Oreochromis niloticus: one gene and its partners. The protein of the gene in region 1 interacts with the protein of each later gene in a pairwise test. Links are inferred from orthologs where the notes say so. Each region holds a gene or a part of one and is shown in the gene's direction. Other genes may lie near its edges. The genes, in order: tacc1, memo1 and ckap5.

The links.
Region 2: the proteins of tacc1 (region 1) and memo1 interact in binary tests that used the Homo sapiens proteins (3 or more experiments, as listed by UniProt). The two-hybrid records come from large-scale screens. The link is inferred for Oreochromis niloticus from reciprocal best matches to the Homo sapiens genes TACC1 and MEMO1.
Region 3: the proteins of tacc1 (region 1) and ckap5 interact in binary tests that used the Homo sapiens proteins (3 or more experiments, as listed by UniProt). The link is inferred for Oreochromis niloticus from reciprocal best matches to the Homo sapiens genes TACC1 and CKAP5.

What each region holds. Positions count from the first base shown.
Region 1 is NC_031970.2:27,575,934-27,583,553, forward strand, and holds the start of tacc1 (transforming acidic coiled-coil-containing protein 1), read left to right. Parts: upstream 1-4,290; 5' UTR 4,291-4,852; coding exon 4,853-5,013; intron 5,014-6,810; coding exon 6,811-6,920; intron 6,921-7,620. UniProt on the Homo sapiens protein: Involved in transcription regulation induced by nuclear receptors, including in T3 thyroid hormone and all-trans retinoic acid pathways. Might promote the nuclear localization of the receptors.
Region 2 is NC_031978.2:23,301,604-23,309,941, reverse strand, and holds the start of memo1 (protein MEMO1), read left to right. Parts: upstream 1-5,084; 5' UTR 5,085-5,521; coding exon 5,522-5,582; intron 5,583-6,858; coding exon 6,859-6,940; intron 6,941-7,029; coding exon 7,030-7,098; intron 7,099-7,280; coding exon 7,281-7,393; intron 7,394-7,847; coding exon 7,848-7,959; intron 7,960-8,338. Other genes in the region: spast (spastin), read right to left, coding at 112-203, 304-379, 472-543, 671-745, 848-941, 1,037-1,170, 1,271-1,431, 1,514-1,600 and 2 more. UniProt on the Homo sapiens protein: May control cell migration by relaying extracellular chemotactic signals to the microtubule cytoskeleton. Mediator of ERBB2 signaling.
Region 3 is NC_031972.2:38,741,201-38,749,170, reverse strand, and holds the start of ckap5 (cytoskeleton-associated protein 5), read left to right. Parts: upstream 1-4,601; 5' UTR 4,602-4,929; intron 4,930-7,970. UniProt on the Homo sapiens protein: Binds to the plus end of microtubules and regulates microtubule dynamics and microtubule organization. Acts as a processive microtubule polymerase. Promotes cytoplasmic microtubule nucleation and elongation. Plays a major role in organizing spindle poles.

The sequences.
Region 1 (7,620 bases):
CCTGATTCGTGCAGTCTCCTCTGAACAGCTGATGTAGAGATGTGTCTGCTACTGGAACTCTGTGTGGCATTTATCTGGGCTCTAATCTGAGGTGCTGTTAACTTGCGATTTCTGAGGCTGGTGACTCGGATGAATTTATCCTCAGCAGCAGACATGATTCTTGGGCTTCCTTTCCTGGGGCGGTCTTCATGTGAGCCATTTTCATTGGAGCACTTGATGGTTTTTGCAACTGCACTTGGGGACATATTCAAATTTTTAGCAATTTTCCGGACTGACTGACATTCAGCTCTTAAAGTAATGATGGACTGTCAATGCCTGGTTAATGCCATAATATGAATTCTAACCGTTGTCAAATAGGGCTGTTAGCTGTGTACCAACCTGACTTCTGCACAACACAATTGATGGTCCCAACCCCATTAAGAAGGCAAGAAATTCCACAGATGAACCCTGAAAATCATTTCAGGCATTTCAGGTTTCATTGCGAGAAGACCAAGGATTTGCAGCGCGGTCAACAAAGTAAAGGATGGCTACTTTCAGGAATCGAAAATATAAACATATTTAGAGTTATTTATCATTTTCTTTCTCTGCTACATATTTCCATATATCTTGCTTCATATCTTTGATGTCTTCAGCATGTATCTACAATTTAGAAAGTAGTAAAAATAAAGTAAAACCATTAAATGTGAAGGTGTGGCCTAACCTTTGACTGGTAGTGTAAGAGTTAGAAATTTTCACAAAAACTAAGAAATCAGGAAGGGGGCAAATATTTTTTCAAGACAGAGTACCAGTTTAACAATCACTTCCATGAACTTAAGCACGTCATGGACAAAGTCACATCGAAAGGAACCAGTTGAGGTGGCTTGGACATCTGACAAGGATGCCTCCTGGGTGAGGTGTTCCGGGTATGTCCCACTGGGAGGAGGCCCCGGGGAAGACCCAGGACACACTGCAGAGATTATATCTCTCGGCTGGCCTGGGAACGTCTTGGTGTTCCCCCAGACAAGCTGGAGGAGGTGGCTGGGGAGAGGGAGGTCTGGGCTTCTCTGCTTAGGCTGCTGCCCCTGTGAACTGGCCCCCTGGATAAGCGGAAGAAGATGGATGGATGGATGGGAAAAGTCAGTTTTCTGAGTAATACACAAAAAATTACCTTCTTAGCAATACTGAGCCTGTTGACTACAAACCGAGACTTTACTCTATGTGTGCTTGTCATATAGCAGTTACGGTAAAAAAAGATAATGCATGGTTTTTATTAAGTTTTTAACCTGATGAAATTTTGTGAAGTTTTTCTGGTTGTTATTATGCTTTTTGACCACTAGATGCCTGTGCAGTCCACTGATTCTGCAGCTTGCCAGCTCAGAGGAGCAGATTACTGAGGCGTGGTGTGACATTTGCAGTAGTTTTGCTTGCACTCATCTCTGGAAGAATGTGATCACATCTTGTAGTTTTTCCTTCAGCTAGCTGTTGAAACTGCCATGTCATATTACTGCAAGTGTGTCACTTAGAGCTTCACTCATTTGCTGTTAGAGGCCTGACGTATTAGTTTTCCTCACAAGGCAGAAGTAAGAAACTCGTTGTGCTGGCATGGGTTATTTATTTGCAGGTTCTTCCTCTCCGTTTCTGTTCCTCAAGCACGCACACACATAGCTACTGCAGCCTTGTGGCAGCGTGCTCATTATTTTCCTTCCTCTTTGTTTTCCTTCTCCTCGGCTCTTCATCCTCTGCCCTTTATGTCCCATTCTTTTTACATTAATTAATTTCCAGGAACATTCAGTTAGTTTTCTGGGATTTGCTGAGACCAAGCCATCTCTTTGTGTGTCTGCACTTATTTTAGGCTCCACAGGAATGGCTGTTATATAATCACATGGTTCCTCTATTGTCTCCCACTCTATTTATGGTGATAGAACATTTAAAGTGATGACTGTTGACACAGCCTGAATACAGTTTGCACATTTGATCTCCGCATTGTTTCCAATATCGGTTACAGTCATATTGACACAGAGACTAAACATAAGTGTGCAATTAGTGCATTTGTAGTAGGAAAGTCAGAATTTCAGCTGATGTGTCAGCTTAGAATAAACATCACAGTAGCGGGAGAGGCCAGATTGTTATTCTGTCTGGTACTAGTGACTTTCTGTTTTCTAGAAAATGCCTGTTGGCTACCTCGTGCTGGGCTTGAAATCTGAGCTCTTTTGAGTTGTGTTTGGATTCTGGTGGTGCTTCAGACTCCTTGGCTGAAGCTTTCTGGTCTGTGGCTGTGGCAGCCGTTAAGTATGGGGTGGTCTTTTATCTGGAGACACACACGCACACACACACACACACACACGTGCGTGCACACACACACACACACACACACACACACACAGCTGTCTCATGCTGATGTTTATTGATGCCGTTTTTAGATAAGTAAAGCACTGGTCCACAAACCTCGATAGTTTGTAAAAAGCAAACAAAAGATGTCAGTACTCAGTTCAATGTTATTTTCTGGCTTTTTTTGAAAAGATCTCAACTTATAGTTCTCATTTTATATGTATATTTTTTAGTAGGGGAAGTAATAGGCACCTTTACTTATATAACATGCTTATCCCTCTCTCACATGCATCTTCAGAGACCCCTCACCATCGATAGAAGGAGCTATTTATAAGGTTTAGAAGGTGTAAATATGCAGACTTCCTCTTCTGCACTGAAACACACCTTTGTTTCTATCACGCAAACGTGACGTAAATATCGATCAGTGATCAGGATTACCACTAGTATAACTTGTGGGAAGATGCTAATCTATTCTCCTAGTAAAACCAAAGTAGGGCTTTGCTGCTACTCTGTGAATTAATAAAAAAAAGTAAAAATGTTGTCTTTCACAAACAAACATTTCACAAGCAAAAAAATAAAATAAACAGATACCAACTCCAAGATAAAAGCACAAGTAGTTCTTCATGCTTGTGAGATGATGTCTTTAGTATGCAGGAACAGTTTTTGTCCTCACTTCAGGCACAATCTTTACCAGAATCAGACTGTAAATAAGCGGGTAGAAAACTCCACCCTTTCTGGTCAAATGTGGAAACTTTGAGCCTGACTGAAGCACGTGTGTGTATTTGGTCCTCGATGGGAATTTGGGAGGAGTTTAACCGCTCAGCAGACAAACCAATCCTTGAATTTTCTGGCACCTTAATACAACAAGACTATAGAAATAGGATGTATTATCGTGCTGTCTGTCTGGGTGAACACAAGAAGGTTTTGCTGTTGCAGCAGGTGGTTGAAGGAGTGCAGAAAATCTACAGCAAAAACTACTGTATGGCTCTTATTAGCCAGTTATCCATGGATTTGCCATTGCCCCCTGTACTGTATGTGTATTGTGAGTGTTTTTCTTCTTTACTGACATCATTTGCTTGAGATTGTCTCGTCATGTGATATATTAATTTACAGACATTGTCAGTAGCTTAACATCTGCAAATTAAGCAACTATGGAGCTCTGTGAGCTTTGTTTTCATAAATTCGCACAACTGAGTGGATATTTCTAGACTTCTCTTATATCTAGAACCAACTAGATCAACTTAAACTACTCTCCAGATGATCTGTTGCTTTGTTTGTCTTGTGTAAAAGTAAATATAGGACTGATATAGTTGGCAGGATGACAGATTTTCTCAACTTTTAAGAAAAACAGAATAAATCAGTTCCGCTTTTTTGCGTTTAATAAAAAGAAGCACATTTGAAGTCATTGTCCTAGAAGCAAGCCACTTTTGGGTTCTCTCTGTAATATATATATATATATATATATATATATATATATATATAACAGATTTATTAATTTTTTTCTTGGTTTTCATGGAAATGTAGTGAATGACTTTTTTTGCTGTATTTAGAGGGGCATTTTATTGCTCTGTTGAGAGATTTAAGACCCAATTTTCTCTTTCTAAGTTGCTACAGTGGGGTTTTTTTTACCACCCGTCACTGACTGCATTGAAGACTTTGGTTTCCTGCCAGTTCAGTGGTCTGAACTGCTACCTCAGACAAATTGAATCCAGCCAGGTATATCTCCTGGGGCTTTCCAACAGAAATGCAGAACTGGTTCCCCTGGTCATGCATGCCTGGCTGCCACTGGATGGGAGAAACAGTTAACTGTTAAACAGTCTACAAAGGAGTGGGGGTGGAGGGGCTTTAAGATCCAGCCCCACATTCCTAACCTCTCCCTGGACTATAAAATGTGGAGCCCCAAACAGCTCTGCTCCTCCTCTACCTCCACTCCCTAGGCCTTCTCCTCCTCCTCCTCCCTCGGTGTGTGTTTTGTGACTCCCTCCTTCTGCTTCAGAGTGGAAGAGCGGCCTGACAGGGACGTACCATTCTTCAACCGCGGGGGAAGTCATGTAGAAACCTAAAGAGAAGCTGCATTCATTCTTCGAGCTGACAGCTCACTGCCTTCCCCCACTGCATTTTCTGTCAGTGAGCTGTTCCGAGGTGGAGGGGAGAGTTTGTAGGGGGTTGAGAGGAGAAGAGAGTGAGCACAGCATTTGATAAACCAGCTGATCAGAGCTGAGGTATTCGGCCACAGAGACAGAGGGGGAGAGAGAGACAGAGAAGAGAGCGTGACTGGAAATAAGAATAAGAAGGACAGAGAACCCAGCTCAAGTCTTTGTAATTTCGAGATTAGTGATATACAAGTAGGGTAGTGTAAAAATGTGTAGTTCCCTTCATGGGAAACTGAGAACTGTGAGAAGTGGGAACCTCTATAGAAAGATGTGAGAGCTGTTGGTTGGGTGGAAACCTGAGGAAGAATCAGAAAAGGATCAGTCAAGTGCTGGAAACTAATCCACAGCTATCGGTGAGAGAGGGTCAGAGGACCCTGCTGGAATAAAGAGTGATGTCTTGGCTCTCACCCGTGTCATGGGCTAAATGGACATGGACGGCAGTGCGCGGGGGAGAGGGAGAGGAGGATGAAGACGGGCAGGAGGCCAGCGAGGAGAGGGAGCAACGTGGAGAGAGAGTAGAGGAAGACGAGGAGGAGAGATCTCAAGGCTGCAGGCAAGTGTTGCGCTGGAGCCCCCAAGACTACTGACAGGGTGGCTCACACAGTTTTATTTACCTGCTCGTCGGCCTGTCAGGTTGAGGAATCCCTGCTGTTTTAAGGGTTTGATGAAATAGGCCAAGGGAAGGGAGGAGAAAAAATATTGGTGTCATTTTTTATATTTCGCGTGCTGCGTTGTCCTGCAGGGCGGACACATTTGCGGTGTGGCTGTGCTTTCGATTGTCACCACGTTTGAGTGTTTTTCTTAGACTCACTGGCACGTTGTCAGATCTGTACAAGAACGCACACACACTGCACAGGCAGGTAGCTCAACGAGGTAATCATCGCTCAGATCACACAAACACGACAGGCTCCCAAGTCATCAGGTTCTCAAGTACCTGCTTTTCATGTCTGCCTTGACACTATGGATACTTGCTATTGCTCCAAGTAAATTCACAACTGTTTCCACTCTTGCACACTCAACTAGACACAATATCCTGTCATTGGGTATCAAGTAATCAAATGACAAAATCCATGTTTACTATCCTGTGCAATTAGATTCAACCAGAGCAACAGCAATTCTTACTGCTAGATCTAATCGAATGATGCAATGTTATAAAATCACACATCATTTTATTCTGTTTTAATGTTCATATTCTGAGTTAATACATCATTTACAGCTTGTATGTTACAGTTTTATACTTCATACCCCATGATTCTAACAATGTAACAGGAAATAGTGGGCTGGCTTACTTGCACTTCCTCTTCCTCTATGTATCTTTCACTTTATCTGTATTTCACTCCTTCACCAGTTCAGACAATACTGAGTCTTTCCAAGGCATAATACAACAGCAGAGGATAATAGCTGGGACAGTGGCACATTTAAGTTGCAATAAAATATGATTTTTATATTTGATTTTTGTTACTCAGTATCCTCTAGATGTCAATGACATCATGCGTCACTTGTGAAATTGCTCTTCCTTTCAGTATAAGTTTAAATATGCATTGTCACTTGCAGATATCTTTATATAAGAAAAACATGTACATTTTCAACAATTCATCTCAGCTTTTCTACATGATAAAGAAATGCTGCTGTAGTAAATGAAAGACGTCTGTCAGCACAGTTCTTTTGGCTTAAATTATAAGAAATGAATGCTTAAAATTTTAGAAAGAAATTCTGGTTGCTTGTTGCCTTGACTGTCCTGTAATTGTGAAAAGGAACAAAGAAAATGTCAAAAAACATGAATTTTTCTGTCATTGAATTGTTTATCTTTTACTTAATTACTTTGGTGTGTTATGATTTTCCATGGGGGAGTTTTTTTATAAGTAAAATTAATTTTAACAATTTGTTTGCCCTCCTTTACATTTCCCAAAGACCGACAGTGGGCAGTTTTTGTTGGGCCAGTTCTGGTCCCAGGCCTAATGTTTAACACCCCTGCTCTAAATCAATATGGAAATCATTTCCGGGTATTCTGTAGTACTATTAACCCCCAGGTGGTGATGCTACCACCAGGGGGTTGCATGAAGTTGTATTTTCACCTCTTCATGCTTCTAAAAAGTATTTATTTACGTAGCACAAGAGGTGAATTCCACACTTGGTCTGACCTGGGACCATCTGTACATTATGATACCATGAATCAATATAGTGCATCTGGGGGGTTTTTTGTATGTTTTTTGTTTTTATTTATCTTTCTGATTTTTGGCAGCAGGAGTTTTTCTATGTCGTGCTCTCTGTTTTTGTAATATGATCACTTCTGTGCTCCTTTCTAATGTTTTGAATGTTTTAATCTTTCTCTCTCTCATTTCTACCACAGCTCTGACTCAGAGGGTCATTTTGACACTCCTGAGGCAGCGACTCCTGTCCGCGCCCCTCCGACCATCCCAGGAGAGCTGGAGAACAACAACACTGATGCAGACAAAACAGGTGAGGCCAACAGCAGACAGACAGAAATGCAATGATGAGACGCTGTCCACTGTGAAATCTCAATAGCAGTAGCTCTACAATTTTCAACATATGAGAAGAAATGCGTGTTCGAGTGCACAACACAAAGCAGTAGCCTCAAGGTTGCCATGGAAACGAGTAGCTGCTTCACTAAATGCTCAGGTGTCACATTTGTGTTTGTCTTCATAGTCAACAAAAGAGGGAAATGTGTTTAGAGTGTGTCAACAAAATAATGTTTTTTAATGCTAAAATGAACGTTTGTGTGATCGAGTACGTCCGAACTTCTCATCATTCGCAGGAAAAATCTATTACCTACTAAGTATTCAGACTTCCGATGTGGGGTACAGACAAGCAGTCAAATGCAGAATGCACTTCATTAAACATAATTAAGGTTAATACCTGAAGGTGGCCAAACATGCTCTGCATGCTTGGTATGTAAGCTGGTTTGCAGATGAGGAAGGATTTCGGGTGTGATGAAGCCTTGACTTTGTCCTTTGAATCACGAAAAGGAGGAGCCTGTAGCAGAGTGTGGGAAAGGCCTTTGCTCTGGAATTCAACAGGTTCAACAAAAGCTTCATCTAAAGCTCCGCCCTGCTTTGTAGTAGTCACTGACAGAGGTCAGTATGAAGGGAGCAACTGCACAAAGCAAGCCATGGGCCCAAAGCTATCATGTAGCTTTCTT
Region 2 (8,338 bases), on another chromosome or scaffold:
CCAGAAGAAAACACCAGGGCTCTCCAAGTTAACTAGGATTTGAGCTCCTCTGACGATGTTTGATGAGTGAATTTCTGAGCTCTGCTCTATTTAACAAATTTCTGAACTTACCCCGTCAAACTCAATGAGGAACTCAGTTTTTAAACGGCGAGAGGCGTCGTGCTCCCCCTCCCTCCTTTCACAGAGCAAGCTGTCCACTTCATCTGAGTGTCAAACAGTAAACAGTGAGATTTATTCATGAGCTGAAAATTTTTGAGATAGACTGGTGTTTAAGGCACATCTATTCTTTAGTGTAACACACACCGATGAAGATGACTGAGGGCTGCAACTCTCTTGCAACTGCAAACAGTGCTCGTACAAGCTTCTCGCCTTCTCCCACCTGTGATGGTGACGACATGAAACATTTAGAAGGAAAAAAATGAACTAGTAGGCAGAGAGAACTCATTAAAAACTGTTAAAAGTGTTTCTTACGTATTTGGAGGTCAAACTAGCAGCACTGATGTTGAAGAATGTTGCATTAGACTCTGCAGCAACTGCTTTGGCCTTGCAAGAGGAAATAAATGGCTGTGATTCAACTGAGGATAATGAGGGCTATCAACAGCTATATGCAAAATACAAAACAGTTTAAAACGTGACTCATATGATTTGTTGTGCTGTAAAATGAACTTACGAGCATGGTCTTCCCATTTCCTGGTGGGCCAAATAAAAGCAAGCCACGTGCAGGAGCTCTCAGACCAGTAAAGAGCTAAACAGGAAAATGTAACAAAAAAACCTTTGCATCTTAACAAAGAAAAACTTTGAAAGTATATTCATGGTAAGCAGACAGAAGAAGTTTAGAAGTAATAACCTCAGGTCTTAAGGCAGGAAGGATGACAATTTCTTGAAGTGCTTGCTTTGCCAGATCCTGCCCTGCGATGTCATCAAATGACACAGTCGCTCCACTGCAGTGAACAGAGGAAATATTTTAAATGTGCAATAATTTTGTTTAAATTTCACCCAGGGAAAAATGTCTTGTTGATTGTGATGCTTCTGATACCTGTCTACAATGTCATTCATAATTAAGTTGGCCAGCTTGCTGTCCACATTCTTGAAGTTTTTCATATCCCTCTTCGGGGGCTGTTTCACAGCTGCCGGTCTTCCATTCTGAGTTTTTCCCACCCGAGTGGTTGTCTTAGCAGGAATAAGATTGTTCCAGAAAGCATTACACATTAGACAGGTAGCTTCAAATGGCATGTGCCTGCACTATTAAATAACCAAAAAAACCACAAACCTTTGCATCAGTTAGTCTTGATGAAGGTCTTATAGGAGTGGAGGGTCTGATGGTGGTGGAAACACCTGCGGGTTGACTTTTAGGAACTGACTTTGGCTGTGGAAGGGCATGACGTGATGTCCCTTGGGGGTCATTTCTCCTTTTAGAGGCCAGTGTCGTCTCTGTGAAGGAAGACATTTGATGATCTTCAGCATGCCTTCTCAGCTTACATTACTTTGATAAAAATAATCAAGGCCAACTCACCTAAAAGGGTAAGCCTGTCTTTTGCCATGGTGAGGTTGGTGACCATTTTATCCTGAAGTCTCTTTGCTCGGTCATACTGCTCTCCTGCTAAAAATACACTGAGTATGAAGTTACAGCTGATTGACAGCTCACAGCATACCTGGATGTATTTGTAATACCTTGCCCAGTGAGCTCTATTGCAATACCCCTTTCAAGCTCAGAAATCCCTTTCTTGTACCACTGCACAGCCTCCTTCTTCTCTCCTGTTATGACAGAAAGGATGAGGTGTTTATTACTCTCTTGCACACGTACAACAGCAGTTAATAACTCAATAAAAATTAATAACACAATAAACAAACCTGTGTCGTCCTCGTCGATCTTCAGTGCCTTGGATATATACTCAAACGCCTGCTTGTGGATGTTTTTTATAACTTCAGCGCTGTCTTTGGGCTTACTTGCGTTTGTTTTGGTCGACATTACTCTCGCGCTACTTCCCCCCTGTTCTCAGTCATAACACGGTAAGCTAGTCATAAACGAAAAGGTTTAGGCTTTAAATCGCATTTGAAGGTGATGCAGTCCTCTTTCTTTGGGACAAAACACAACGCTTTAACTTCACAGAATAAAAATTCTGGCGCTTCGTGACAACACAAACATTTCCAACACAAGCTTCCGGTTTACCGAGCGACCCAGACAGACTCCGCCCCGCCCGCAGAGCTCGTTCTCATGAATGTACCGTTACAGTCCCATTAGTCCCATACACTAATTATAGGTAAAAACAAAAACATATTTTCTTTTATCTCTTATATAGTATAAGTAACGCAAAAGAAGCAAAGCCATTTTTTAAAAAAATTACGTAATTTCCTTTTTATTAAAGAAAAATTATATAGAACAAGAAGTAACTTCCGGTTGAATTCCAGACTAAAAGCATGCTATGTGTGCATATTTCCGGGACACTGAAAATCTTTTTATCTAAAACCTTAATAATGTGCACTTACTATTTCTCTTTAAAACAAAACAAAAAACAAAGCATGTAACATGGCAGCTATTTGCTTCAAGATTACATTTTTAAAAGGGGAAGGGTTAGCCATTCAGTCTTTTTTAATTCCACATTTTCTTTTAGATCCACCCATTTCTTATCACAATACCCGTGTTGTGTGCTGCACCCATATGGTTCGATGAAAACTGAATTCAGGTATAACAACATGACTACAGCTTTATTTGATAAGTACTTGTTCCCATCCCATGATGGACAAAAGGTGTAACGACCCACCAGTGCTGGCACGAAACTAACCACTGAAGATCAGTGAGACAACTCTGAAGACCAGCTAAAAGTATGTTAAGATAAATAACTGTCATTAGACATTCGTATTAGTGTAATAATGTGCTCATACTGATTTGTGATGCTGATTTTTGTTTGAGAACACAGTCTCACTTTAACAAGACTCAACCACAAATCTAAATGTTTGCAGAAAAGTTATGTCAGTCCCACAAAACCACCTACAGTGAAACAGATCTATTTTGACAAACATTAGTGTTCATTGTTATCCAACACCCAAAAGCTAAACAGAAAATAAATCTGAGGAGCATAATTATGGTAAACAGAATTAAAAACATTTAGAAGGAATAACCTCAGGTCTTAAAGCAGGAAAGTCGACAATTTCTTGAAGCACTTTTCCAAATACTGTCCTGCAATGTCTTCACAGGACATAATGTACTTGTTACAGCATAGTAGGGCCAGATATCCTTGGAAACATCTGCAGGGTGGATTTTGGAAACTGGCTTTGGTTTTGGAAGGACAAGATTAAGTGTCATTTGTCTCTTCTCCTTTTAAAGGGCATTTTCATACCTAAATAAGCTGATAAATAAGCTCTTTTCACACAGAGGAAATCCAAGCAAACAAAAATGCGCCACTACAAAGCACATTAGAATGTTCAGTCTGCACCAAACACATCTGGCCAATAAAGCAGATGTGTCTGACCAATAAGCCAATAAGCTGACTGAACTCAAGTTCAACAGGGTTTTCACACCTGTGTTGTTAGAATGTTCAGCCCACTTACTGGACAGATGTGTCTGGGGCAGGAGCGACAAAAGTAAACAATTGTTAACAATTTTATCTTATTGTCTGTTTGCTCTGTCATATTGATCTCCTGCTAAAATATGAAAGAAGGCATAGGACTTTTAGCTGTATTTTTATCAGTTTTACAGCTTTTCCAATAGACAAAGACCTCCCTCATGGCCACTCATGCTACACACAGGAACTGAGTAACAGATAAACAATTAAGTTACAGAAGATAATGCTTTTTCCACAATGTACTATAGAGGTTTTTTTTTTTTTTTTTTTTGGGTTTTTTTTTTTACAGTGGGTCCACAGTAAAAAGCCCAAAGTGCTGCACTGACAGTATTTTTTTTATTCACTATGGCAGCATTTCTTTATCATGCAGAAAAATTGAGACATACTGTTGAAATTTCACTTCTTCCTATATTAAGATAGCTCAGGGATTAAATATGTTATTAAAACATCTTTCCATTAACAAAAAAGGCAGTTTCTCTGGTACAGACTAAAGTGGACTGCAGGCCCACGATGTAATATGAGTTTGACATCTCTGGTTTAGACTGTCTTTTTGAAAATAGAGAACACAAGTTTTGTCTTTTGTCATCCAGTTTTCTTACAGTATTTAAAAGTAGAATGGGAGAGAGAGCCTTCAGTTTTCAGGCCCCTCTTCTATGGAACCAGCGTCTAGTTTGGATTCGGGAGACAGACACTATCTCTACTTTTAAGATTGAGCTTAAAACTTTCCTTTTTTCTCTAAAGCATATAGTTAGGGCTCCATCAGGTGACCCTGAATTCTCCCTTAGTTATGCTGCAATGGGTGTAGGCTGCTGGGTGATTCCCATGATGCACTGAGTATTTCTTCTTCAGTTACCTTTCTCACTCACTGTGTGTTAATAGACCTCATTGCATTGAATCATACTTGTTATTAATCTCTGGCTGTCTTCCACAGCATGTCTTTTGTCTTGTCTTCCTTCTCTCACCCCAACTCTCACTCCAACCCAGATGGCCGGCCCTCCCTGAGCCTGGTTCTGCTGTAGGTTTCTTCCTGTTAAAACTGAGCTTTTCCTTCCATCCTCATAAAAGTGCTTGCTCATAGGGGGTCATATGATTGTTGGGTTTTTCTCTGTATGTATTATTGTAGGGTCTACCTTACAATATAAAGTGCCTTGAGGCATTGTTGTGATTTGGCGCTGTATAAATAGTTGAATTGAATTTAAATCCATGAGAAAAGCAATTAGTTTGTAAACAGTCACAATTCTCTCATGATAGCAAACAATGACTGTGGAAATGACTGTTTTCTACAATCACTGGTAGCAAAAGTACTCCTTTCAATGCTAAGAAAAGGAATAGGTACATTTTTGTTGATGCCCTATTGACGTCCCTGCTTCTTTGCCACGCTGTACCCGCTCACCTGACGGACAGCACAATTTCACAATCAAACAACATCTTACTAACGGCTACGCCTCCTGGATTTTTTAACCAATCATGTAAAGATGAACAATCAAGCAGCCAATCGGACCGCTCTGACGTCTCTTTGATAACATTTTCTTTTCAGACCCGCCCCTTGCCTGGCTTGACAGACAAGTCTGTAATCCTCAGATCCCAACTGTGACATCGCTTCTTTTATTATTACTGTTCTGGGTGTTTCATATCGGCATATTACACACATTCTGTAATTCGTGCCTTTCTGCATTACATGCTAATATTAACAGACTTTATGACAAACGGACCCTAGCTACTCTCCTGGCTAACTTATTAACCGGTAACAACACAAGGGCCATCTGACGGTACACTGAGCTTGTTAGCCAGCTAGCTGCTGATTCTCCAGTCGAACTGCCCTTTGTCTTTTCAGGCAAGTCAGCTAGCAGGCGTTGGTTTCTTCTCTCGGGTAGTTAACCCAGGATTTTGGAGTTTTGTTTTTAATCTTTCGCCTGACAGGAGTGAAGCAAACCAAGATAGGCGGCTTGGGAACCAAGATGTCGAACCGAGTGGTGTGCAGAGAAGCAAGTCACGCCGGGAGCTGGTATTCTGCTTCGGGTAACTGTCAACGAAGCACCATCCGCGTTAGCACACTGTGTGCTAGCTGGCAGTCTTATTTGTTTGTTTTATGCTTTGTGTTCTATTCGTTTTTGAGGCTTCTCATTATGCGTAACTTACTGGCTTTGTAACTGGGCTCCTGGTGGCTTGCCACCGCAGAAATTGATACCCAGTGTCAGGGCTGTAACGTTAGTCCATCCGATTTTTTTTTTTAAAAGTCGGCTAACTAACTGTTATTGACTGCCGTCTCTGTATTATCCCATTAGGTGTACGATTGGTTTGAACGTGTTCAGCACTTCCTCCTCGGATAGTGCGTGGAAATGTCAAAACAAAGCATTTTTGACACGCTATCAACTCAACCAACGCTAACTTGGCTAATATTGCAGAACTTCCTGGCCTACGTGCTAGCTAGCCAGCTACACTGAAGATTTCCCGAAGCTGATTGCCTACATTAACTTATGCGGTTATTGTCATTATTGTGTTCTTGTTGGTGTCTGCCCCTGACCCGCTTAAGTTATGTGTACAAATGCTCCCTGCCACAGAACAAAGGATTGGGTAGGGCAGGGCAGAAAGCTGAAGGTTCATGTTGCACCCCTTCCCCCATTTCACAAGCTGTACGCTAGTTTCTTTCTTTTTTTTATTAAATTCCAAAAGGCTGCCCGAAAATCCATTAGAAGCTGCCATTTACAATCCTTTTTGAGACAACATATGATGAACATGAGACAAAGCAGATAAATACTCAAAACCACAAATGCTGAGCTAACATTGATTACCGTCATTCTGGTTGTTTTTCTAACAAATCATTCAGCTGTGTGTGCTGTTAATGTTGTCAACTATTGACACTGGTGAACATGAACACAAGTAGTTTATACTCTAATATAGGCATTGTATTCCAGTGTAGTTAACCACGTTTAGTAAGGTTAAATTTGGATTATGACACATTATAATGAGCTCCAGCTTTACAATAACAGTTGCCCAGCATATAAAAGATTGACAATACTATGTTAGGCTTTGTCAAGATGGGCTCTTATCCATTTCTTTCCCCTTCCAAAATAACTGACAAGGAATAATGAACTGCTGTCACAGCTGGATTTCAGCCCAGTGCATTGCTATTACAGTGAGACATTGGTAGGGATCTAAAATGCTTATAGCCTTATCAAAGTGATTCTACAGTTATCATTTGATTTTGTGACCCCTCTTTATTCTAGTGTTAGTCTATTCTAGTGAAATATATATACGCATACATTTTTTTTTTTTTTTTTTTTAACTTTTTCAGGATCCCAGCTGAATGCACAACTAGAAGGCTGGCTGTCTCAAGCACAGTCCACCATCAGACCCGCTAGAGCCATCATAGCACCGTAAGCACACTATGACAAACGGAAAGAAAATGTCTTCTGAATGTGTTGAATGCCTTCTTAATTGTAATATGGCTTGTTTTTGTTTGTAGCCATGCTGGGTATACTTACTGTGGTGCTTGTGCAGCACATGCCTACAAGCAGGTTGATCCCTCTATTACGTAAGTGATTCAGTTTTCTAGCTCTCTTCCTCATTTAAGAAGATGCTTTGCATGATTGCTTATCTTAATTCCACTTTTTCCACAGACTGAGCAGATGTGAGTGTAGATAGCAGAGTACAGCAGTGTTGGTGCTGTGCTTTTTGCAAAAACAGCTAATGAAATAAAGTTCTATTGCCCTTCAGTCGTAGGGTGTTCATCCTGGGACCTTCACACCATGTGCCCCTCTCTCGCTGTGCCCTGTCACCTGCAGACATCTATAGAACACCCCTCTATGACCTGAGAATCGACCAAAAGGGTATTCACTGTTTTCAAATATGTCTTACATCTTAACTTGTGCTATAATTTATTTATATGCATTTTGCACATCCTCATGAAAGGTATTTTGAGGATGTGCAGTGATGTGAGGTAGTACCATGACAGTTTGGATAACATTTACAGTATACATTTCAGTACATGTTTTGTGCCAAAAGCAAAGAGAAGAACAAATTTTTTGGAGTCATTGCTCTTAAAAATGTGAAATGAAGCAAGCACAGAGCTCCAACATACAGGCCTTATGCCAGTTTGGCAGGTGATACACTTTTAATGATCCTCCAGCGACCAGACATTGCCTTGACTCTGTGGTCAGGGCTTTTTTTTATTATTTAGATTTTCCTCAGCTAGGCACTTGTCAGAATTCTAATCTCACTGACTTTATCAGTAGTCGTGACTATGAAAAATTCACAAATTAAAGTTGAACCTGTCTCTTTCAGTTTATGCTGACCTCTGGAAAACTGGGTTGTTTGAGAGAATGAGTCTGCAGACAGACGAAGATGAGCACAGTATTGAAATGCACTTGCCTTACACTGCTAAAGCCATGGAGAGGTAATGCACCTGAGAGTGACATTCATTCAAGTAAAGAATCAATCTATGCATTTAAAGGGAACTGTCTGACAAATTGAAGCTTTTTCCTGACTGTTTCTGACAAAAGTGAATAAGGTACAAGAGCTCTGTTACTTCTGTTCTCTTCCTTGACTTCCTATACTATGCACCAGGCACTATATTGTAAACCAGAATCACACTGGTGCAGGGACACATGGATGTGCATAATTTATACAACCTTCTGTTAGGTTGGCTGGAGACAGAGCCATTTTCATGGTTCTGAAAAACAGTGATCATGTAGTAGAACTTGAACTGAGCTCACTGATTCCATAATGTGAAAAAAGTTGAAATCACACCAGTGATGTTGACCAATGAGACTAAA
Region 3 (7,970 bases), on another chromosome or scaffold:
GCAGTATAAGGTGCAATGTGGTCAGTGGTATTGCGCATTAAGTAAGGAATAGGAATGCTGGTTGCTACTATAATAAATACAGTTATATAAATAGAGAATGTTGGTTGCATTATAGTATAATAAATATGGTTCATAAATACAGTGTAAATGTCCATGGATTTTAACAGCACAGTTAACCTTCAATCAGGGTGAGGGTAGGGCATGTTTGACAGCCTTGATCTTGACATTGAGTCTGTTTGTCTTTGACCTGATCGACCTGTAGCGTTTACAGTAAGGAAGGAGAAAAAAAAGTGAGTGTCCAGGGTGCAAGGGGTCCTTGATGATGATACTGGCTTTCCACTGAAGTCTGCTGGTATAAATGTCTCTGAGGGGGGTTAGCGAAGTGCCAATTGCCTGCTCTGCCGCCCTCACCACCTGCTGCAGTTTTCTCTTGTCCTCCACAGTACAGCAGTTGAACCAGAGTGTGCAGCAATAGGTCAGAAGACTCTCGGTGGTGGAGCGGTAGAAGTAAATTAGAAGTCTGGAGTAATTGCATCTGCTACAGCTTCCTGAGAAAGTACAGCCTTTGTTGTGCTTTTCCTACCTGCTGGGAAATGTTTTTAGACCAGGTAAGGTTTTTACCGAGATGTGGACCCTGAGGAACTTGAAGCTGCATCAATGTAGAGGGCGGAGTGCTCAGATCGCCTTGTTCTCCTGAAGTCAATTACCATCTCCTTAGTCTTGGCTGTGTTCAGATGTAGGTTGTTGTTGTCACACCATCGCTTCAGATGCTGAACCACCTCTCTGTAGGCTGAATCACTCTATGTAATCACCCAATCAGTCCTATGTAGGTGGTGTCATCAGCAAATACACTGTGAGCTGCAAACTTCTCATTTAAATTTTACTTAAAGTAATTAATTAATTAATTTTTGTACTGCTTACAACCACATCTCCGTGATTACAACCTCTTAAATCAGTGAATACAAGCACTCGACTGTTCCCTCTCAAGTCAGATCATTATTCTGCAATTTTGCAACACTTCTTGGGAGAAAAGCATTTCAAAACTTGCACTTGTAACTGAAGGGGGATAAAAAGGGGTGTTGGTGGTGGTGGAGGGAAGGTATGGGGGGGCGGGTAACGGCAGTAGAGGTCAGCCAATCAGAAGGCCTCTGTCCTCTTTTCACCATGTTGGATTCGCAACTACAAAGCACTGAGCCTGGTTTCCTTCAAAACTTTGTTTAGTACATTAGCACTGTGGTTGATTAGGAAATTAACACAGACACAGCAGTCCCCCATTCCTCATTAGGAGCAGCAGCAAAAACCAGAGTGAATGATCATTTTAGCTAACGGCACTAGTTAACTAGCTACCCAGCGTACACTGATCAGTAATACACTGTTATAACAGTTCTAATCCTTTTTAACAGACCTGAATGTTGCAGCTGCATAACACACTGTTGATGACGACTGTGATCTGTTATCTTTGTACCAGAATAAAGAGGGAACCCAGAGTATGAGCAAGTCCAGTGTCTCAGTGCCATCCTTTCTGCAAAGGCTTATGAAGTCACATCCACCACAGATTCTCAGGACCACAACAGCTATACCAGCAGTATCTTCTCACTCAGTTTATCCCACTGTTGGCAGTAAAAGAGGACTTAGTTCATCTCTGAGCCCTCACTCTGAACCACAGCACTTTTCGCAGGGACATCAGTACATCACACTTTAAATCACACTAAACTAGTCTTCCTCAGTACTTTCATGCTGACTTACCCATATTTATTATGCTAAAAGGAAGCAGTACCAAGTTCATACCAACACTTACAAGTTTACAAGTTCATAATAAATCCCTGAACTCAACAGATAAAGCTGCCTCTGCTGTCCTTTTTTTGTTCTTTTGATTGATTGGTCATTTTGTTTTGGTTAGTCTGTCCAGCAGTAAAGGCCGTTATGAATGATTGAGAATGAGTCTTGTAAGGGCGGACTAATCTCTTTCTTGTTTTTTCGTTTATTTGTTTGTGCCACTTCCCTTAAAGAACCCAGGTTGTAGGTCATACATAGCGCTGATTCCCAGCTAGGCTGTTTGCAGTGCGTGCCCACAAGTAAATTGATTGCGATTTCTCTAAAACTGGGTGTGACAGTTTTCAGTGTAGTGCTATTTGCCTGCACCTTTGGTTTGATAGGTCTCATGTGCAGCTGGGATATTACTAGAATTTATTTCTTTGGCATTTCATTCGACACCTTAGTGCTTGGTTATATAAATGTTTAAAGTAGATCATCTTTAGTTATTTCGATTCAGAAACAACACAGAATTATAAGTCAAATGTCTCCTATGTGTGTTGTCCGTTATCCGTGGCTGTACTATCCATGGAAAAAGACAAACTCTCTATACTTAAATGTTTCATAAACATTCTTTAAGATACTAAAATTCAACTCAAATTAGAGAGGCTGGGATTTGGTCACTTCGTACAGCCAACAACAATATTAGAGCACTTTTCAGCCCAAATTGATTTTGGGGCAGTCAGTTTTGTCTTATCAAGCCACTCATACCTGGAATACAATACCCTCAGAAATAAAGAATATATAACATTCTTTATTTCTTTTTCTAAATTTGTGAAATAGTGATTATTGGATAATCAAACATGTTGTCATGACATAATGCCCTTGAAAGTCCGATTCTAATGTTTTGGGGGATTTTTTGTAAGTGATCATAGTGTTTGATCTTTAATAATGGTATAAGGACATGTGTTTATGTCACAAGTGTTTCTGTATTTTACTTATGTTCACACGCTTCAAAATGTTTGGTTTGTTGATTTATTTAATATGCCATTAACCTGCCAGGGTTTATGAAAATGAGTCTGTGGGTAAATCTGGCATATTTACATGATGAATTTAAGTGCTCACGTTAATTAATAAGTGTTATCCCTTTTAAATAAACACAAACATTTACAAATTGTATTGATGATCACAGCCATCACTAAAAAATTAAACTGTGCATGGCCCTTGGTGTGCTATGTCCAGCTGATATTGAAATGTGTGTACTCATGTAATTAAAACATATGAACAAATGAAAAGAAATTATCTCTACTCTTATTGTTGTCAACAACAGCAACAACCCACAATGAACGGGTCTTGACAAGGTAGGGATCCCCGACACAGTTAGGTTCCCCTGTGTCGGGAGCATGCGCTGGCCTGTCCAAATCACGGACAAACAGTATCCGTCATTCTTGATTTTTAGTTTGCAAACATTTCTTATAATGACTTGTTACTACTGAAATTTTGGAGGTTTTAGCTTTTTATACAATCAAATTACAGGAGGATACATATTACCAGGCATAATGTCGTCGGTTTGTTGAAATAATCCCGTCCGATAATATGTGAGAACAACAAATGTATCATTTCTGTTGTAACCCACAAACTGAACGGTAATTTAACGACACCCATCTTTTACTTTCTCACTAAACTAAAACGTCACGACTTCCACGTCTGTTTAGTTTGAATGGAGGCGGAGTCAACTGGATCCGGTTTCCCTGCCCAGCGCGTCCTCCAGATGCAGGGGAAACTAATTCCTTCAGATATACCTACCTTTACCTACCTTGACACGACACAATCATTTTATGGTGGCCATCAAATTCTGCACTGAGCTTTGGAGAGAGTTTTATATATCCTTTATTTACCCGGATTAAAAGTGTCGTTGACATTAAAAATGTGTCTTTCGAGAGGGCCAAGAGGGCAGCAGAAATTGTAACAAACATAACATAACAGTTCTATAAACTTACTTAAAGTGACCAAAACGCACTGCATTGATGACAATATGGGTACAAATACGCAGAGTCATAAAGATACTTCAACAACAGGCTATTTCTTTCTTCTATATATAACCCAATCATAAATCATGTTCACTACTGTCTATGTACTAATATGAGTAAAAATATTCGACCGTAAAAGACACATAAAAACATCGGAAATCGGTTTTTGGTATATCTCCAAAAGTTGAATCTGTTCATCTGGACGTAGCGTTTTGTGGGAGAAACGTTTCTCCCACAAAACGCTACGTCCAGATGAACAGATTCAACTTTTGGAGATTTACTTTCCTGGATGATTGAGAATGCATCAAGAGGTTTTTGGTATAACATCGCTCATCCCAAACTGCACATAACTAAAGTTTAAAGGGCGTGCACGAAACAAACAAGTAGTGTTTACATAGACAATAGTAGTTTTGAGATAGACTTAATTTCAGAGTAGCCAATGAAATCTCTTCTGAGAAAGCAATGCACGCGTTGTTCCAATCAGCTAAGGAAATTCACACATTGAAGGCGGAGCATATTTCAAACGCAACCAATCTCTCTCCACATCTGTCTCCGTCTAGTGAAAAACAAGGAAGCCCATTAGATGAATAAGTAGTCACGTAAGTAAAATGTCACTGTATGAATGTAGCATTTTGTTTGTGTGCTGCTTCTTCTCTGTCCATGACAGGTTGCTTATGCAGTCGGACTAAATATTAAAAGTGATTCAGTACTGGAGTGACGTCGTTGGGGTGGTGTCCCGCTCTCCGCCCCGCCTCTGTCTGTCCGGCTCTGGAGAAATTTGAAAAAGCTGAAAGAAGTTGGACGTATTTATCGAAATCGGAAGTGGGCGTTCATTTGCGTTTAAAATAAGAGTTCAACACACGCATATTTCACAGACAGAAAAACAAATATTTTCACATCCCAGCCCAGAAATACTTTTTCGAAGTTTTTCTTTTAACGAATACGCAATTTATGTAAATTATATTTAAAATTTGTATTAGATAGGAAACGGCCCAACTGTCTGTTTTATTTTGTACCGGAACAGTGTTGAATCTCCTTCGAGGCAGAGAAGCACTTGTATAAAACTCGACTGGACCCGCAACAGTGATCACTATCATCCTCATCGAATTGGAGAAGCAGCATCGTAATTTTTAACAGCCGCAAACAGGTATTATGTTAAAGATTATTAATATTATTATTATTTTAAGCAACTACAAATCATGTTTGAATCGGAGCTAGTTGTGATGTAATGTGTGTAGCTGCGAACTGCGCTGTTAGGCCTGGTTATGTTGGCGCGGATGGAAGGTTAGCTTGTAGCCTTGTTTCTAATCAGCTAACAGCTATTATCAACCACCAGTAAATTAACGGCGAGGTTTGACTTTGAAAATAACTTATGCATAATACAATTTTGCACGACATGTTTAGCAATGTTTATTTGTCATTAGCGATAGCCGTGTGTGTTGATGCGGGTTGGACCAGAATGAGCGGTTAACGGGGTAACGTAGCAACTGTCACTGTTGTTGCTAAGTTAGCTAGTTAATGGCCCTCAGTAACTAACGTTAGTAACTAACGATTGCTAGTTATGTTATGCTGGCCACTCCCATACAAACCGGGAAAGCAAACAATCAGTGAAATGGGTAATTGACGGCACGGTTGATAACCAAAGTGATTGTAACCAGACCGAAAAGCAGCTGGTTGGGTGTATTTAAGGGGGAATCTAGTTGATAAAGGTTAGCTGTGCTCATTTGGTTGTATTTTAGTTTAAGTTCTGTAATACTGAGAGCTAGAGGTGTAGTGCTGCTTTTTTTGAGTAGGAGAGCTCACTGATCACATGTGTTGAGTTGTAATTTGTTTCTAAGGCTATTTCACTAAAGTCACAAATTTACATTACTCAGATATACCTGAGAAAAGTAATCAAATGTGAGACTGAATTTAAGAACATCATCAGTTTTTACATGCTGTTTACGGCTGTCTCCTTCGTGGATGTCTTCTCTTTTTCCATTCTTTCCTGTTGGGTAGTTGTCAACTCTTTCTCTAACTCATCTCTCTCCCTCACCTATTCTCTGTGTTTTGGATCTTCTACCTTTCACAACATTAAGCTCCTTTTCCATTAGTACCAACTTGGATCGACTTGCCACGGTTTTTAGGGCTTTCCATTAGGTCATAGTACCTGCTCGGCTGGGGTTCCAAGTGATTTGAGCAGGTACTAAAATGTGACGTCAGACTGCATGCCACTGATTGTCTGGTCAGTGGCATCACTCGAGTCATGAGACAGTCTCATTCACGAAAATCAAAACTGCCGTTTTTGAAACCTGGCAACAAGGGAAATGGCTACAAAAAACAATGCCATGGTCCCAGAGTCCGATGAAAAGCTACAGACTGAGCAGCAGGTATGTTCTTGCCTTGAACTCCATCTTTGCTGTAGTGTTCCTGTCGCATACCAATTACATCACTGGACACTGGCTATGACGACAACCACGCACATTAGATGGTACTTGATTGCAAACCAGTTGATCTGAGTCGAGTTGATCCAAGTTGGTGCTAAAGGTAAAGGAGCTTTAAAGTCAGATTTATAGATTTATCCAGCAGCTTAATTGGATTAATTGATTCATCCAGAGGAGACCTGCTTTATATCAAGCTCTTCCACTGTTTAAACCTAGAATGTTTTACACCTGACTTGTACGATGTGCATAACACAAAACGTTATTTACTGTCAGATCCTGACACATCCCTGTATTGAATTTAGAAGGCAACTGTGTCTCACATGCTCAAGTGTGCCATTGCCCTTGTTTTTTCTTGTATGCCAGTGTCTGGTATATTAAAGTCAGCATGAATATAGCAACTCCATTAAAGTGGTTTGTGGTTTTCATCAGCCAGATTGTGCTACAGTAAAGCAGTCTTTCAGCATTAAAAAGCTACTGTTGGGATTTAAGAAAGTGGTGCTAAGTGGTTTGGACTGAAAAATGTGGAAACGGGAGATATTTTATTTGGTTGGCCTTGTTGCATATGTATTTATATGAATTTCCCTTTAACAGGACACATTTTTTTTTTTTTTTCAGAGAACAGTTACTAAATAGATTATACAAAGATGATTAATTAGGATTTTTGCATTCAGTTTCATTGTAAATGTAACAGTGATATTTTGGTGGTGGAATTTGTGATGGTTGGAATGAGAGGAGGAAATGTTGTCAGAGTGCCCAAGTGTCACCAGTGGATGCCTCAAAGCTAGCAAAGGTTTTAGCCATATACTCACATTGTTAAAACTTTGGCTATATACTGTACAGAATATGATTTTGTGTCTCGGCAAAGGCTGTGAATTTAGAGAGGGAGCAGTCAGAACTGAAGCAACTGTACTACCAGAAGGAAATGGCTACAGCATTAGAGACAATGAGGGCAGCTACAATGACCTCTGAATCCCACAGCCAAATAGGAATTGTGAAGAGGCTGCTAGGAAAGCCACAATCACCAAATATCTGCAGAGAGTAAAGCAAGTCCTAAGGAGTCAGCTGAATGGGAAGAACAAGATCTAGGCAATCAACACCTACGCTCTGCCAGTGATTAGACACCCCACTCGGATAATAAGCTGGTCAAAGGAGGAGATGGACGCCACTGACATCAAGACAATGAAGCTCCTTACAATGCATGGAGAGTTTCACCTCAAATCCAGTAGCCCGAAGGCCTTTTCACATAGGCTCTGAAACCCATTAATTTCTATTGCATGTGCCGCATGCACGATAACGGTTTCCTGCTGAATTAAGCAAAGTACAGCGTAATCGTGTCAGCAAGGAGTTCTTGCACAGCATCTGTGCTGTGACATACCTTTGCATCACCAATAGAAATGAAGCCAACAGCCACGCTAAGTTCAACCACTTGATGAGCAAAAACATTAGTGCATATCAGAGTTCAGTGAACTTTTTGACAAAACTTTATGTGTGTATGTAGAGACCTCCAGAGCATTTGAATAAGCCATTCCTTTCAACAGTTCTGGAGACCTCGGGAGAAAAGCAGTGTTGTGGAAATGACTGTGTCGAGTATGGCCTGGAAGTCATGATGTTAAACTGGGACATGCTCCTTAGGGTTGTTGAGAATGACCGAGCTAAGATCCTGTGGGACTTCCAAATACAGACAAACTGGTGTTGGCTAACCAACCGGACATAATATTTGTGGACAAACAGAGCAAGGCAACTGTAATTGATGTCGCTATATTAA